3 linked regions of the Coturnix japonica genome follow. The protein of the gene in region 1 interacts with the protein of each later gene in a pairwise test. Links are inferred from orthologs where the notes say so. Each region holds a gene or a part of one and is shown in the gene's direction. Other genes may lie near its edges.

What was found. The genes of interacting proteins can lie anywhere in the genome.
Region 2: the proteins of MAPK1IP1L (region 1) and TFG interact in binary tests that used the Homo sapiens proteins (3 or more experiments, as listed by UniProt). The two-hybrid records come from large-scale screens. The link is inferred for Coturnix japonica from reciprocal best matches to the Homo sapiens genes MAPK1IP1L and TFG.
Region 3: the proteins of MAPK1IP1L (region 1) and SS18L1 interact in binary tests that used the Homo sapiens proteins (3 or more experiments, as listed by UniProt). The two-hybrid records come from large-scale screens. The link is inferred for Coturnix japonica from reciprocal best matches to the Homo sapiens genes MAPK1IP1L and SS18L1.

What each region holds. Positions count from the first base shown.
Region 1 is NC_029520.1:51,136,936-51,141,006, reverse strand, and holds part of MAPK1IP1L (MAPK-interacting and spindle-stabilizing protein-like), read left to right. Parts: intron 1-2,543; 5' UTR 2,544-2,547; coding exon 2,548-2,571; intron 2,572-3,090; coding exon 3,091-3,804; intron 3,805-4,071.
Region 2 is NC_029516.1:76,120,913-76,125,482, forward strand, and holds the start of TFG (protein TFG), read left to right. Parts: upstream 1-1,358; 5' UTR 1,359-1,549; intron 1,550-3,450; 5' UTR 3,451-3,559; intron 3,560-4,570. UniProt on the Homo sapiens protein: Plays a role in the normal dynamic function of the endoplasmic reticulum (ER) and its associated microtubules. Required for secretory cargo traffic from the endoplasmic reticulum to the Golgi apparatus.
Region 3 is NC_029535.1:6,914,841-6,919,467, forward strand, and holds the start of SS18L1 (calcium-responsive transactivator), read left to right. Parts: upstream 1-1,415; 5' UTR 1,416-1,537; coding exon 1,538-1,606; intron 1,607-3,191; coding exon 3,192-3,268; intron 3,269-4,387; coding exon 4,388-4,472; intron 4,473-4,627. Other genes in the region: PSMA7 (proteasome subunit alpha type-7), read right to left, coding at 861-956. UniProt on the Homo sapiens protein: Transcriptional activator which is required for calcium-dependent dendritic growth and branching in cortical neurons. Recruits CREB-binding protein (CREBBP) to nuclear bodies.

The sequences.
Region 1 (4,071 bases):
GGTTTTCACAGAGCTCTCTGAAGCTGGCCATGGATTCACATGGTGTTCAGTACTGCAGGTAGGATTGGCCTGGCAGTGCTGCACATCTCAGCCTTTGTCCTGCCTGATAACCTGCCATTCTTACCTACATGTTGTTAAATCCCAGTGATTAGTGGCAACTTGATGGCTGCCCTGGGGGCCTTGGACTCTTGTCTGCAGGCTGCTTTGTCTGTAGTTTCAGGGTAGGTGTGCTGGAAATCCTCCATGTCAAGTTTCAGTTCAGGGCAAAGGGTGGGGGATTTCTGCTCCTCATTCCTGTCCTTTGCTTTATCTCAGACATCTTTGCTCTTTTGCCTCACTTCGATTTGATGCTTCTGGCCCTGGGTTGTGTCTGGAGCTGCAGGCTGAGCACTTGTGCAAAGCAAAGGGTGCTGCCAGGGGCGTTGGCCAGCACAGCACAAAGGAAATGTTGTCTTGCAGCAGTGTGGATGCAAGCAGGACTTGGGATTTAATGCTGTTAGTTCAGTAGTCTTTCTCCTGCCTGCCATGTTACTTAAACTCCTTGAATCTTCCTCCTTCCATTCACTCTACTTTTCCCCTCTGCCCCAAGGAAACGCAATCTGAAGTAGAGCTTAAATATGGCAGTAGGAAATGTCTGATCCATGGACCAGCTTTTCTCTATACAGTGCAGGAGCTCCAAGCCCATTTGTTAACCATGCGGTCACTCAAAGCCTCATCAGTGCAGCAGTGTATATTCTGAGATGGTGAGCCCGTGTGTTGGCAGTGGGGACCCTGAGGTCTCCAGTCCAGCAGTGTCAGACTCTATTTCTGAGCACGTGGATGCCCCGTGCCGTGCTCCTGTAATAGAACTGATAGCTCCACTGAGGTCTTGATTGGAGTTGTGCTGTGCAGCTGGGATGGCGTATGGATTCTAGATGGGTTTGTATGTTGTATGTGCCTACCAGGACCAGAATGACTCCTTTATTAAATGACGGTGGCAGCGTGCAGATGAAATGGGTGTTTGAAAAGCGTCCCCAAAGTGGGCCATCCTGTCTGCAGGAGGATCCTTGACACGCTTGGCTCTGTCTCAGTTATGCCAAATGTTGCTCCCGTCTGCTTGCCAAAGTGAGAGAGCCACTAAATCTTATCAGGAGCTTCTCTTTGCTGCAGGCTTTCTCCTAACAGCCACACAGCAGAATTGTTTCCTTAATTTTCACAGCACAGAAGCCTTTGGAAACCATCAGCTGGTTGGTAAATATGGGGGATTTTTGCTGGCATTTTGCAGGCAGGGCTCTTTCTGCTGTAGCCATCCATTACTTCAGCTTCCATTACCATTTCTCATACAGATGATGGGATTTCCTTCCAGGTTACCCTTTGGGTCTGTCTCCTCTCTTCCCTCTCCCCCTTGCAGCGTATGTTCTAACTCTCTCCATAGTGTTTTCCAGTCCCTTGTAGATCTGTTTCTCAGATGGTCTGTGCCATCCCATAACTTCACCTACAGATGAAGTTCACTCTGTTTCTGCAGGGCTTTGGTTGCCTGGTGGGATCGTTGCTGGGAAATGTGTGGTGCTGTCAGGAAAGTAAAGCTTAGGTAATAAAATGGCAAACGTAATTCCATAGAGATAAATGTGATGTGATTCAGAGCTCTTGAATGTGAAATGACACGCATCGCTTCATATATAAAACGACGGGCTGACCCTTAACACTGAAGAATAAAGTACTGCTGCAGGAGTCAGTTTCAGCAGTGAACAAAAAGAAGATCAAACATTAAGTGTTGGGCAGGAAATAGAGGGCGAACCAGAACGTCATTAAGGAACTGTATAAATCAGTGGCTCTCTCACATCTTGGATTCATTCTGGCTCTTTCTTGTCATTCATCTTAAGAGCTACAAAAGCATTGGAGAAACCTCAAAGAGAAGCAGTGAGAATACACGAGGGGATGGAGCAGGTGCTGAGCAAAGGTCAGTGGCATCAGCTCCATATCAGCATGGAGAAGGAAGGGCTGAAAGGGAGTGGGAAGAGCACACAATAACGAGCAGAGCAGCACAGCCTTCCTTCTGTCTGCATTCAATACTGCTTAGCTGAAGTTAGTGGAAGCAAATAGGAGCATCCACTGACTTTTAGTGTATTTAAAACCCACATTTAGTACTTCTAAAGATAAGATCCGAATGGGGGTGTGATGGTGTTTAATTTTAGGGGCATTGACTTCAACAACTTCTCCTGGTTTAGAAAAGAGCCTGGATACCTGCTGGCATTGCTGTAGGGGCTGCTTGTTGGGCATGAATACCTGAAATAGTTTATCTTAGTGTCCTGAGCCATTGATACTATGAGCCATTAACACTGCATGGATCCCATCTGAGCTGAGGTGGAGGCCGTATTGAGGGAGAGCATTTGGGTGGCTGCTGTGTGTATGGACCCCAGTCAATGGGATGGAACCATGTTTGAGGCTCTGCCAGCTGGATGTCCCTTTGGGTTTGAATGAGACCGATATTGAATCCTTGCTGAACTCATCCTCAATGTACTTTCTTTTCAAGGAATTTCACTTTATTTTACCTTGCTTTTCAGCATAATGTCTGGAACTGATGATTTTTCGGTAAGTAATGGCTTTTTGTTCCCGAAGGTGCCAGTTGCTTCGTTCTGTTCAGACGCTTCTATGAGAAGAAGGGCAGCGCGCAGCTGAGATGACTGCCTGGGCATTGCACTAACAGCTCTTTGCTCTGGGGCAGAGGTAACAGACTGTGGCCTCCGGGTGTGAATTCAGGTGCCTCGAAGGTTCTCTTCTGTGGTGGTTCTCACAGGGGGGTGCTGTCCTAATAGCATCGGAGTAGCTACAATGGAAACTTACAGCACATTCTTCTTCCTGGGTTTGTACTGGGGTTGTTTATTGCTGAGGGTTGCCTTTTATCTTTGGCTTTAGAGCTGTGGCATGTCAGGATGCTTCTTCTTTAATGACAGAAGCTGCACAAAGTGAATGTAGTGCTCTCTGTGCAGCAGCATGTAGCTCTTTCTCCTCCCATTCTGGCAACTGAAATGCATATGGATAGTGGGTGACTGTGGGCAACCATCCCCTCCAGCAGGTATCTCCCATGCTCACGACTGCTCTCTCTCTCAGTTGGCAGATGCTTTACCCGATCAGTCTCCTGCTAAAACCTCCAAAGTGAGCAGTGCCAAACCCGGCCAGCAGCCCTCCCAGCCGCCGCAGGGTTGGCCGCCATCGAATCCTTGGAACAACCCGAGCGCTCCCCCTGCTGGGCCCACAGCGCTGCCGCCAAACACGTCTGCTTCCAACGTGCCCTTCGGCCCCCCGCCTACAGGAATGTATCCTTCAATGCCCCCTGGACCGCCTGCTCCATTTCCTCCTCCTCCTACCGGACCCTCTTGCCCTCCTCCCGGAGGTCCATATCCACCCCCAGCAGTGCCAGGTCCCGTCCCACCGGGGCAGTATCCTCCGCCAAACATGCCCTTTCCAGAGCTTCCAAGACCTTATGGCGGTCCGACGGAGCCAGCTGCGCCTCCCGCTCCCGTTGGGCCGTGGGGATCCATGCCCTCTGGAGCATGGGGACCGACAATGGGAGGGCAGTATCCTGCACCCAGCATGCCATATCCACCCCCGGGGCCATACTCTGCTCCCACCCAGACTCCAGGGGCAGCGCCAACAGTACCATGGGGTACAGTCCCACCTGGAACGTGGGGACCTTCACCGCCAGGTCCGTTTCCTCCACCCACAGGATCGTACCCGGCTCCAGGACTGTATCCTACGCCCCCTAATCCTTTTCAAGTGCCATCTGGTCCTGCTGGTGCTCCATCAATGCCAGGTGGTCCCCATGTGAGTATATACGCTGGATGTGGCTCTGGGCAGCCTGGTCTGGTGGTTGGTGACCTTGTATGTAGCAGGGGGGTTGGAACTGGATGATGGTTGTGGTCCTTTTCAAGCCAGACAGTTCTAGGATTTAGTTTTTGTCATCAATGACTTAAATCTTGACACTTTTAAGCATGGAAATTGGGTAGTGTCAGACCTATTGATGCAGGTAAGAACTCTAAGGGCTTATCCATGTAGTCAGTGGATTAGCAGCCAGTTTTCTGCTTAAACATT
Region 2 (4,570 bases), on another chromosome or scaffold:
AAAAAACCCAAACATGCACACACAAAAACTACAACCAAAGTATATATAATACTGGATTGCAAAATGTTGACTTTTAACTAATCACATCAAACACACTGTTTTGAATGCTTTTAGATACTAGCAAAACACTTTAGAGCAAGTACCAAGGATGTCAGAACTAAAAGAAAAAACTTCCAGCATAAAAAATATTGAAAATTATAATTTTTATGTTTTTTTTTCTATTTTTTTTCTTTTTTCCCCTTTTCCAAGTGATCTTAATTATAGAATTGAAGCAAAGCAAAATTTAGCCTTTTCCGGTTATATGCTTAATTCTTGTAGGCTCAATAGTTCAACTCTTATCTATACACGTGGAATATACTAATCTTAATAATGTAGTGAACTTTGGCATTCTTTGTGATATGTGTGCTTTAAGTTCAGGAAGTTTCTCCTTGTTAACACAGGGAAAAAGCTCCTTTGATAAAGAAATATTATGGAGGAAGATTGATTTGGACAAGGGAGAATGGTTTTAAACTGAGACAGGGGAGGTTTAGGTTTGATATTAGGAGGAAGTTTTTCAAGCAGAGGGTGGTGACGCACTGGAACAGGTTGCCCAAGGAGGCTGTGGATGCTCCATCCCTGGAGGCATTCGAGGTCAGGCTGGATGTGGCTCTGGGCAGCCTGGTCTGGTGGTTGGTGACCCTGCACATAGCAGGGGGTTGGAACTACATGACCATTGTGGTCCTTTTCAACCCAGGCCATTCTATGATTCTATGATTCTATGATTCTTTCTATGATTCTATGATTCTATGAATTGTCTATTCAAAGGTATGAAAAATGACAGCTTGTACTTGTAATGGACACAAAGGTCCTGTCTTCCAGACCTCTTCCCTATGTTACTAAAACTGAAGAGATGATACATATTTCTTTACATTGAAAATGGACTAATTATTTCTAATTATGTTCTCATACTTATCTACCAGACTTCTTGTATGATGGACCCATTAACTTCAGATTCATTTTCCCATGGAATCCTGCCAGCTAGATCCCTCAGCAGCCTCAAATTTGTTCTCCCCACATCCAAGGTTGAAGTTTCGCTGGCAGTTTTCCTTCTGTCAGCAAAGACTTGTAAAGAATGGCCTGGGCTGAAAAGGATTACAATGCTCATGTAGTTCCAACCCTCTGCTACGTTCAGGGTCACCAACCAGCAGCCCAGGCTGCCCAGAGCCACATCCAGCCTGGCCTTGAATGCCTGCAGGGATGGGGCATCCACAGCCTCCTTGGGCAGCCTGTTCCAGTGCGTCACCACTCCCTGTGTGAAACAGACGAGCCACCGCCTCCTCCCCCCTCCCCGCGTGGCGGCGGTCCGGTGTCCGCAGTGCGCATGCGGCCGCAGCGCGCAGGCCCGGCAGCGGCAGCGTTCCGGCCGCCCCTTCTCTCTTGTGCCACGTACGGGTGGCGGTGGTTGTGTCCAGGCTCGGAAAGCGCCTGGGCCTCCGCCGGCAGGACCACGCGGGAGCCAGAGTAAGACAACGGGCCCACCCTCGCCTCGGGGTCAGGCGCTGCGGGGCGGGTGAGGGCGGCGGCTGGGGCGTTGGGCCGGGGGGCTCCGGGGCTGGGAGACCCCTCGCGTTCAACCGGCCTCGCCTCAGGGAGGCTCCGGGCCGCGTTGAACCGCGTTGGCTGGCGGGCCTTGGTCAGCGGGCCCCGCTCCGTGCACCGGGCCTGCCTCGCCGTGATCCATCCAGCTGTGTCACGTTGTGGGGAGGGGAAGCCGGAATGCTGTGCGATTTTGTGCTTTGAAACCTTGCGGGTTGTTTTATGCGACGGCTGCGAGCAGGTGTAGCGTTGGGAGTCTCTTCTAACCCAAGCCAAGCGGAGGATGCTTGGGCAAAAAAAATAACAAACAGAAAAGAAGAAAAAAAAATAGTGCGTTCCAGTGTTTTTCTGTTATCTTTTCTTACTCTTTGCTAGACGTGCAGTGTATTAATGTGAGTGATGTTGGTGAGTAAGACAATGTAATTATGTAAGTATGTTACAGCAGCAAGCTAGTTTCCTTGCACAAAGATACAAGTGATGCGTTCCAAAGGCTACAGCTGCTCAGGTGTGTCCCCTGAAATGTGGCAGCACAATGACTGATGAGGTGCTGTTTTTAGTTGTTGTTTCAAAGCAAACTGCACTGTAATGCTAAAGAAGCCAAACCAGTGTCCAGCTGTGATGTTTAAACCATGTGAGGTGCAAGTTAAATGAACTCTTTTAATCCACTTGTAGATGCATTTTCTGTACTCGTTCAGCACGTTAAATTGTACTCGGAGCTGTAGTAAGATCAGCAAGAGTAGCCCCATCTCTGTGTGTCACTCATTTCACAAGGTGTGTGTGAGGAGTCAGAAAAGCAGTGTTGTCATGTCATGGTTCACCTGTGTAGTGTGTCAACACAGCCTTACCCTCGCCCTGTTAGCAGTGAGCTCAGCCCTTGGAAGAGGTGGGTGTTTCATGCTAGGGAAGAAAGAGGGAGGGGAGCAGTCACAGAATCACAGAATGACCCGGGTTGGAAGGGACCTCAAGGATCATGTAGTTCCAACCCCCCTGCCTGGCAGGGCCACCAAACATACACATTTACTAGATCAGGTTGCCCAGGGCCCCATCCAACCTGGTCTTGAACACCTCCAAGGACGGGGCACCCACAACCTCCCTGGGCAGCCTGTTCCAGGACCTAACCACTCTCCTAGTGAAGAACTTCCCCCTAACATCCAACCTAAATCTTCCCTCTTTCAACTTTAAACCATTTCCCCTTGTCCTGCTAATTGTGATTCTGTGTGGATGATGAGCATGTGTAACAAGCAGGTGGACTGCATAAATGTCAGGCAGATCACTGCTCTCTTTTCAGTAGGAAAAACAGACTTCTAAGCTGAAGTGGGGTCAGATGGTATTTTTAAACATTGTGTGTTTCTGACTGTAGTGTAAAATTGCCTGGTTCAGTGTTTCTGCTTGTGGGAATGTTCTGTTACTCCTGGTAATGTGTCCTGGTGCTATCTGGAGGATGCACTGCTTAATTCTACTCCAGAAATGGATTTCTAGGTTTTTATAGTGCAGAATCAGTCTAAGTTTAACTTAGATTTAATTAATTAATACAGCTTCACCTGGGGTTTTAAGTTGGAGGCCATGTGCGTGAGCGTTTTAAGACTGCTGGGGTAGATCACTGTCCTCCTGCAAAGGAACATATTGCTCCTACATGCATTTAAAAAACTTAGAAAAATGAACACCATTCTTTCCTCAATTATGAAATCAAAACTCTTGTTCAGGATCTGATTTAGCTGAACCTCAAACTGCACTGCACTCAGAAGTGTAAACGTGATTATTACATACGATAAAATAATGGCTTTTTGTAACTAGGTACATTTGTTTAAATGTTTTAGAGTGTTTAAAGAAGTTTGACAGTAAATAAAGCTTTTTAATTTCTTTTTTCTGATGCAGCTTCCTGTTTTCTGCCACTGTTAGTGCATGGCGGCTTATCCTGACACTGTTCTGAAGTGAGGACAACAAGGAAACTTGACCAATAACCAACATCAATAAGACAGACAAGGTAACATAGTGCTAAATGTTTAGTGAAAACATTGAAAGAAGACCCATGTATGGATGCCGTTTAATTTTTTATGCTAATGTTGTTCTAAAAAGCCTCCTGCAGAGAAACCTTTTAAAACCAACTTCTGCTGAATCAAAGTAGAACTGAAACAGTTGATGTTCCTGTAGTCAAGACTTGTGAAATGCATATAGTACATTAACCGGCATTAACACTGTTATGAGCTTCACCATTTCATCAGTGCCTCTGCAGCTACCTTGATGTGTGAATAACAGGTCCTTTTTCTCTGCAGTTAGACTGAATTTCTCTTTATCCACCTACCTCTTGTTCTTTTAAGAGAATGAGTTTTGCTCGGTGGGTGTTTGTCTTTGCTGTAGTTTAACCCTGTCAGGCAGCTCAGCACCTCACAGCTGCTAAGTTACACTCTGAAGATGGGAGTGGGGAGAGAATCAGAAAGGAAAAATCCCGTGGACTCGTGGTTTGAGATGAAGACATTCTGCTAGGTAAAGCAAAAGCCATACACACAACCAAAGCAAAGCAAGAAATGTATTTTCTACTTCCTGCTTCATTAGCAGGCAGGTGTTCAGCCACCTCAAGGAAAGCAGGGCTCATCACATGTAACAATTGGGAATACAAATGCCATCATTTCAGATGTCTCCCCTCAGCTTTATTCCTTTCTCTCAGCTTTTTTTTGCTGAGCACAACATCCCTTTTGGCCAGGTTGGGTTGACTGTCCAAAGCAAACTCCTAAAACACTGGTTTGCTTTCAGTGGTGTTCTCATCCTAAATCCAAAACAGTATATCTGCTACTATGAAGAAAATTAACTATTCCATCTGAAACAAGGACAGTATTTTCCCTTTATTCTGTACCAACTATGCTGTGCTCTGGTCACATACTTGGCAACGTGTCCCAGTTAATCACTACCGCCTTTCCTGTATTTTAATATATACACACATATTGTTCCCTTAGTCTGTGAGCCATCCATGTGTACCCTGTGTTCCTTTTGTCCATGA
Region 3 (4,627 bases), on another chromosome or scaffold:
TCTTAAGTATCTCCAGAGAAGGAGACTCCACCACCTCCCTGTGCAGCCTGTTCCAGTGCTCCGTCACCCTCACTGGAAAGTTCTTTCGCACATTCGTGCGGAACTTCCTATGCTGTACTTTCATCCCATTACCCCTAGTCCTGTCCCCACGCACTACTGAAAAGAGACCAGACTCACCACTATGGCTCCCACACCTCAGGTATTTATAAACCTGGATCAAGTCCCCTCTCAGCCTTCTTTTCTCAAGGCTAAACAGACCCTGTTCCCTAAGTCTCTCCTCATAGGGAAGATGCTCCAGACCCTTCACCATCTTAGTGGCCCTCCGCTGGACTCTTTCCAAGAGATCCCTGTCTTCTTTGTACTGGGAAGCCCAGAACTGGACACAATATTCCAGATGAGGCCTCACCAGGGCAGAGTAGAGGGGGGGGGATCACCTCCTTTGACCTGCTGGACACGCTCTTTTTAATGCACCCCATTATGCCATTGGCTTTTTTGGCTACAAGGGCGCACTGCTGCTCATGGTCAATCTATCATCCACCAGGACGCCCAGGTTCCTCTCAGCAGCTCTTCCCCCAGCCTGTACAGCCGGAGCGAGAGCTGCTGCATTGGCCTCAAGGCTCGGGCCCGGGCAGCCGCCACATGGACACGGGGATCCCTCCATCTCTATCCATCTCTATCCATCTCTATCCATCCCTCCATCCCGATCTCTCTGTGCTCGCTCCATACACTCAGCCCCACCGACCAGCAGCAGCTCCTCTCCCCACACCGCTCCGTGCTCAGGCCCTTCCTTCCCCTCACGTCCTCTCCCTCCCGCCCCAGCCCCTCGGGATCCCCTCGCCTCCGTTCTCCCCTTCACTCACCGCAGTCGATCCCTTCTTCACCGCCTCCTGTGCGTACTCCACCTGGAACAGGTGCCCGTCCGGAGAGAACACGGTGATGGCCCGGTCGTAGCTCATGGCTGCCGGCCGCGCCGCCTCCCTCAAAACAGCACACTCATCCCCCGCCCGCTTCCGCACTACGCCGATTGCGCACCCTACGCCAACTCCGTACGCTGCAGCCGCCGAGCTCCATCCGCCGCTCCTTACGCCAGGAGCGGGCGTTGCGCAACGAGCGTAAGCTGCGCTAAGAGTAGATGGCGGCGGTTGTTACGCAGTTGGCGCAGCTGGCGGCGGCCGGCGGAGGGAGGGAGACGGCGCTCGGCTGCGACAGGAAACCGGGCGGCAGGGCCGGACCATGTGCGGGCAGCGGGGAGAGCTGCGGGCCAAGGGGCGGCCGGTTCTGCTCATATCCCGATAATCATCCCTCGGTTCCACCCGCTCCGACCCGCCGGGACCGGCCCCGTGTGCGGGGGGTTGTGTTCGGGTCCGGGTTATTCTGCCCGTTGCCGTGCGCCGGGCTCAGATCGTACCATGTGCGGCACCTCCCCTGCCCCAGCACTGCGGAGAATCGTGGGCCGGCAATAGCAGGAGATAATAACAATATTATTAGAGCACGGGACCCGTACATTAAAGACACGTAAAAAAAAATAAAGCCCACCATGTCGGTTGCCTTTGCTTCTGCTCGGCCGAGAGGCAAAGGGGAGGTGACCCAGCAAACTATCCAGAAGGTAACGGCATATCGGCATATCGGCATATCGGCATGCTTTGTACCGCGGGGTGGACGCGATGCTGGACGTGATTCCGTCCGCGATCCCGCAGCCGATGATGGAACGAGGCGGATTGAGGCAGAGAGGGAAAGTCGTGCATGGCCGGGAATGCGGAGATGGACGGCGAGAGAGAGACAGAGAGAGGTGGGGGAAGGAGGAGGTGGAACAAAGCGGAGATGAGCGGAGCTGCGGAGCCGGAGGGAACGGGATGGAATGAGCCGGGTGCTGCCGGTGGGAAAAAAGAGCCACAATAACGCGTTGGAAAATCGCAATAGCGTGTTGAATGTGTGATTACTGACGGTGTTTGGGGACGGTGAAATAAAATCCGATATGGCATTGGGAAGGGTTTTGTGTTTGGATGCCGGAGGGAGCAGCGCTCAGCGGTGTTTTTCGCCTGCTGTTACCGCTGCTGGTGATGTGTGTATTGGTGTATAATGACAAAGGTGGTGAAGATCTGCTCTGCGCTGAGCTCCGGTACCGCAGGGCTCCCGGTTGGGAAGTGCTCGTTTCCCATCCCGTTGGCTGGCACAGGCGCTGCGTGCACCTGCCGAACCTTCACCCCATCCCATCCCTCCCAGAAGGGAACTGTATCACGAAGCGGCTGGAGACTCAATAAAGTCCGTGCATGTTTCACTCTGAGCGCTATCTGTCATTTGTGCTGCCCGTCATCTCCTTCCCCACCACGGAGCCGTTTTGTCCGTGCGGTCCGTGCGGTGGCAGCGAGGTGCGGGTGATGATGGGCAGCGAGGCGGGGTTGATGTTTAACCCAGCAACGAGCGGATCGGCAAGAGGTGTTACAGCCAAACCGCTCATTCTCAGGTGCCAATAAATGACTTCAAGGGAGAACAGCTGGAGGATGGTACAGAGCAGGGATGGAGCTGCGTGTGAGCACGGGGAGTGTGACTGCGTTTGTTGCTGTGGGACTTCGGGGCTGGCAGTCGGTGTCTGTGGCTGCTGGCAGTGGTTCTGTTTGCAGAGCTGGTGGTGCTGAGCTGGGGATTTGCAGGCACAGACTGAATGGATGTTCTGGTTCGGTGTAATGGAGCGGTCAGATCAGGCACTGATGCTGGGCTCGTTACAGATTCCCACTAAAGCAAATTATTTAGACTGTTGTGATGCCATTGGAAAACAAGAGCGTTGTTATTCGTGTTTGTAATAGAAAAGCAGCTCGTTTTTATTCATTAACTCAATAATCTTTGCAAGCTTTAATTATTCCAGCACTGCCGACCATCGGGAGATCACTGATGTGTTGGAAGTCAGAGCTTTGGCCGCACAGCAGTGATGGCGCTGCTTTGAAATGCTCATCAAATAGCGATTGTAGGGCAGTGAGCTGCTGTTTCTTGTGGGTGGTGGAGATCAGAAGTCGGGGCCGCCTGCATCCCAGCAGGTCAAGGACCTGTGCTGTGCTATGCAGGTACCTGGTCGTATCCCAAAGCAAAGTGCCCAGAACTCCATCATTGGCTACAGGGAGCAGATGTGGAGTATGACACAAACACGGGTCTGTAATGTGATTCTCACGTGTTCTGATCGTGTTTCTTTTATGCAGATGTTAGATGAAAATCACCACCTAATACAATGTATTATGGATTATCAGAGCAAGGGGAAAACTGCAGAATGCACTCAGTGAGTATGATGAGTTTCGGGCTGTGTTTTTTGGTGTGCTTTTTCTCTAGGGCTGTACTATGAGCAGTGCTGTCAGTGAGGAAATGCTTGGACTGATTCATTAGATTGGCCTCTATTACAAAATATATCTTGTTCTTGGGATGGAGGGTTGGGTTTTTCCCCCCCAAGAGTGTTTGAGAATTTAGTATTTAGAATATATTTAACAGATTATTTATTAAGTTTGGAGAGTCATGACAATGTCTTCACCTCCTGCTTGGAACTTAAAGCCACTGAAGATTTCGAGCAATGAGGATCACAGAACGTATCTGCAAGGCAGGCAGTGCTGTGTGTCTGTGTGCCTTTGGGAGGAGACACCACGTCCCATGATTTTGCATTCATTTCACAACCTTGGCTTCATATTTGCCATTTTACTACTTCCCACACGTTTTTCCCTGATCAGAAGGAAAAAAAACATGTTAAAAAAGATTTTCTCTTACTTTCTTCTCACACTCCCCAGGTTTGACTCTTCACTTTGCACAGTGGTACATCTGTAGTTTGCTTTTGGATGCCCCCCTGTTCTTCTGTATGAACTTTTCCAGTTCATGGAGAACTGTGAAGAAGCAGAGATGCTTCAGGTGCTGCTGACTTGAGTAAACACTCCAGTTAAAGCACTCTTGAACAAATCTTGTTCTTCTCAGCTTGTTGACAGGGCAAACAGCTTTTGGGTTATGGAATGGCATTGCAAATAGGACCATGGTTAGACAGAGGAAGAATCTATGGCTGGTTGTTCAGGCTGCTGACCCCATGTCAGTTCTCAAGCCTGAGCTCCCACTGCACAGCGCGCTCCATGTGCTTGCAAAGCAGTGTGTGTTTTACCTCCTGCTTCTCACGTGTTTACCTGTTGGTCAAAGGAGTGTTGAACACGCTGTTGAAAAGCACAGCAGCACAGATATAGGTCAGGATGGTCACTGTTTACAGCACAGATATAGGTCAGGATGGTCACTGTTTTCTTTGACAGACATAAAGGGGGATCATGTAATGTAATGAACTGTTTGAGCATAGCAAAAAAAGAAAGGAAAGAAATTGGAATGTTCTGTGTTGTTAAACCTTTCCAAATAAGCTTTACTCCTTATTCTGTAGATACCAACAAATCTTGCACAGAAACCTCGTTTACTTGGCAACAATAGCAGATTCTAACCAGAATATGCAGTCCTTGCTTCCTGCTGTAAGTACCGATGCTACCACCATGTATATTTACTGTGCCAGAGGGAAACGTGCTTTGATGCAGACACTGATCAGTGTCAGTAAACCTTTTTTTTTGGCTGGTGGTTGTGCAGACCAGCAACCACATGAAAAGCTACTTTTCCTGTGTTTCAAATG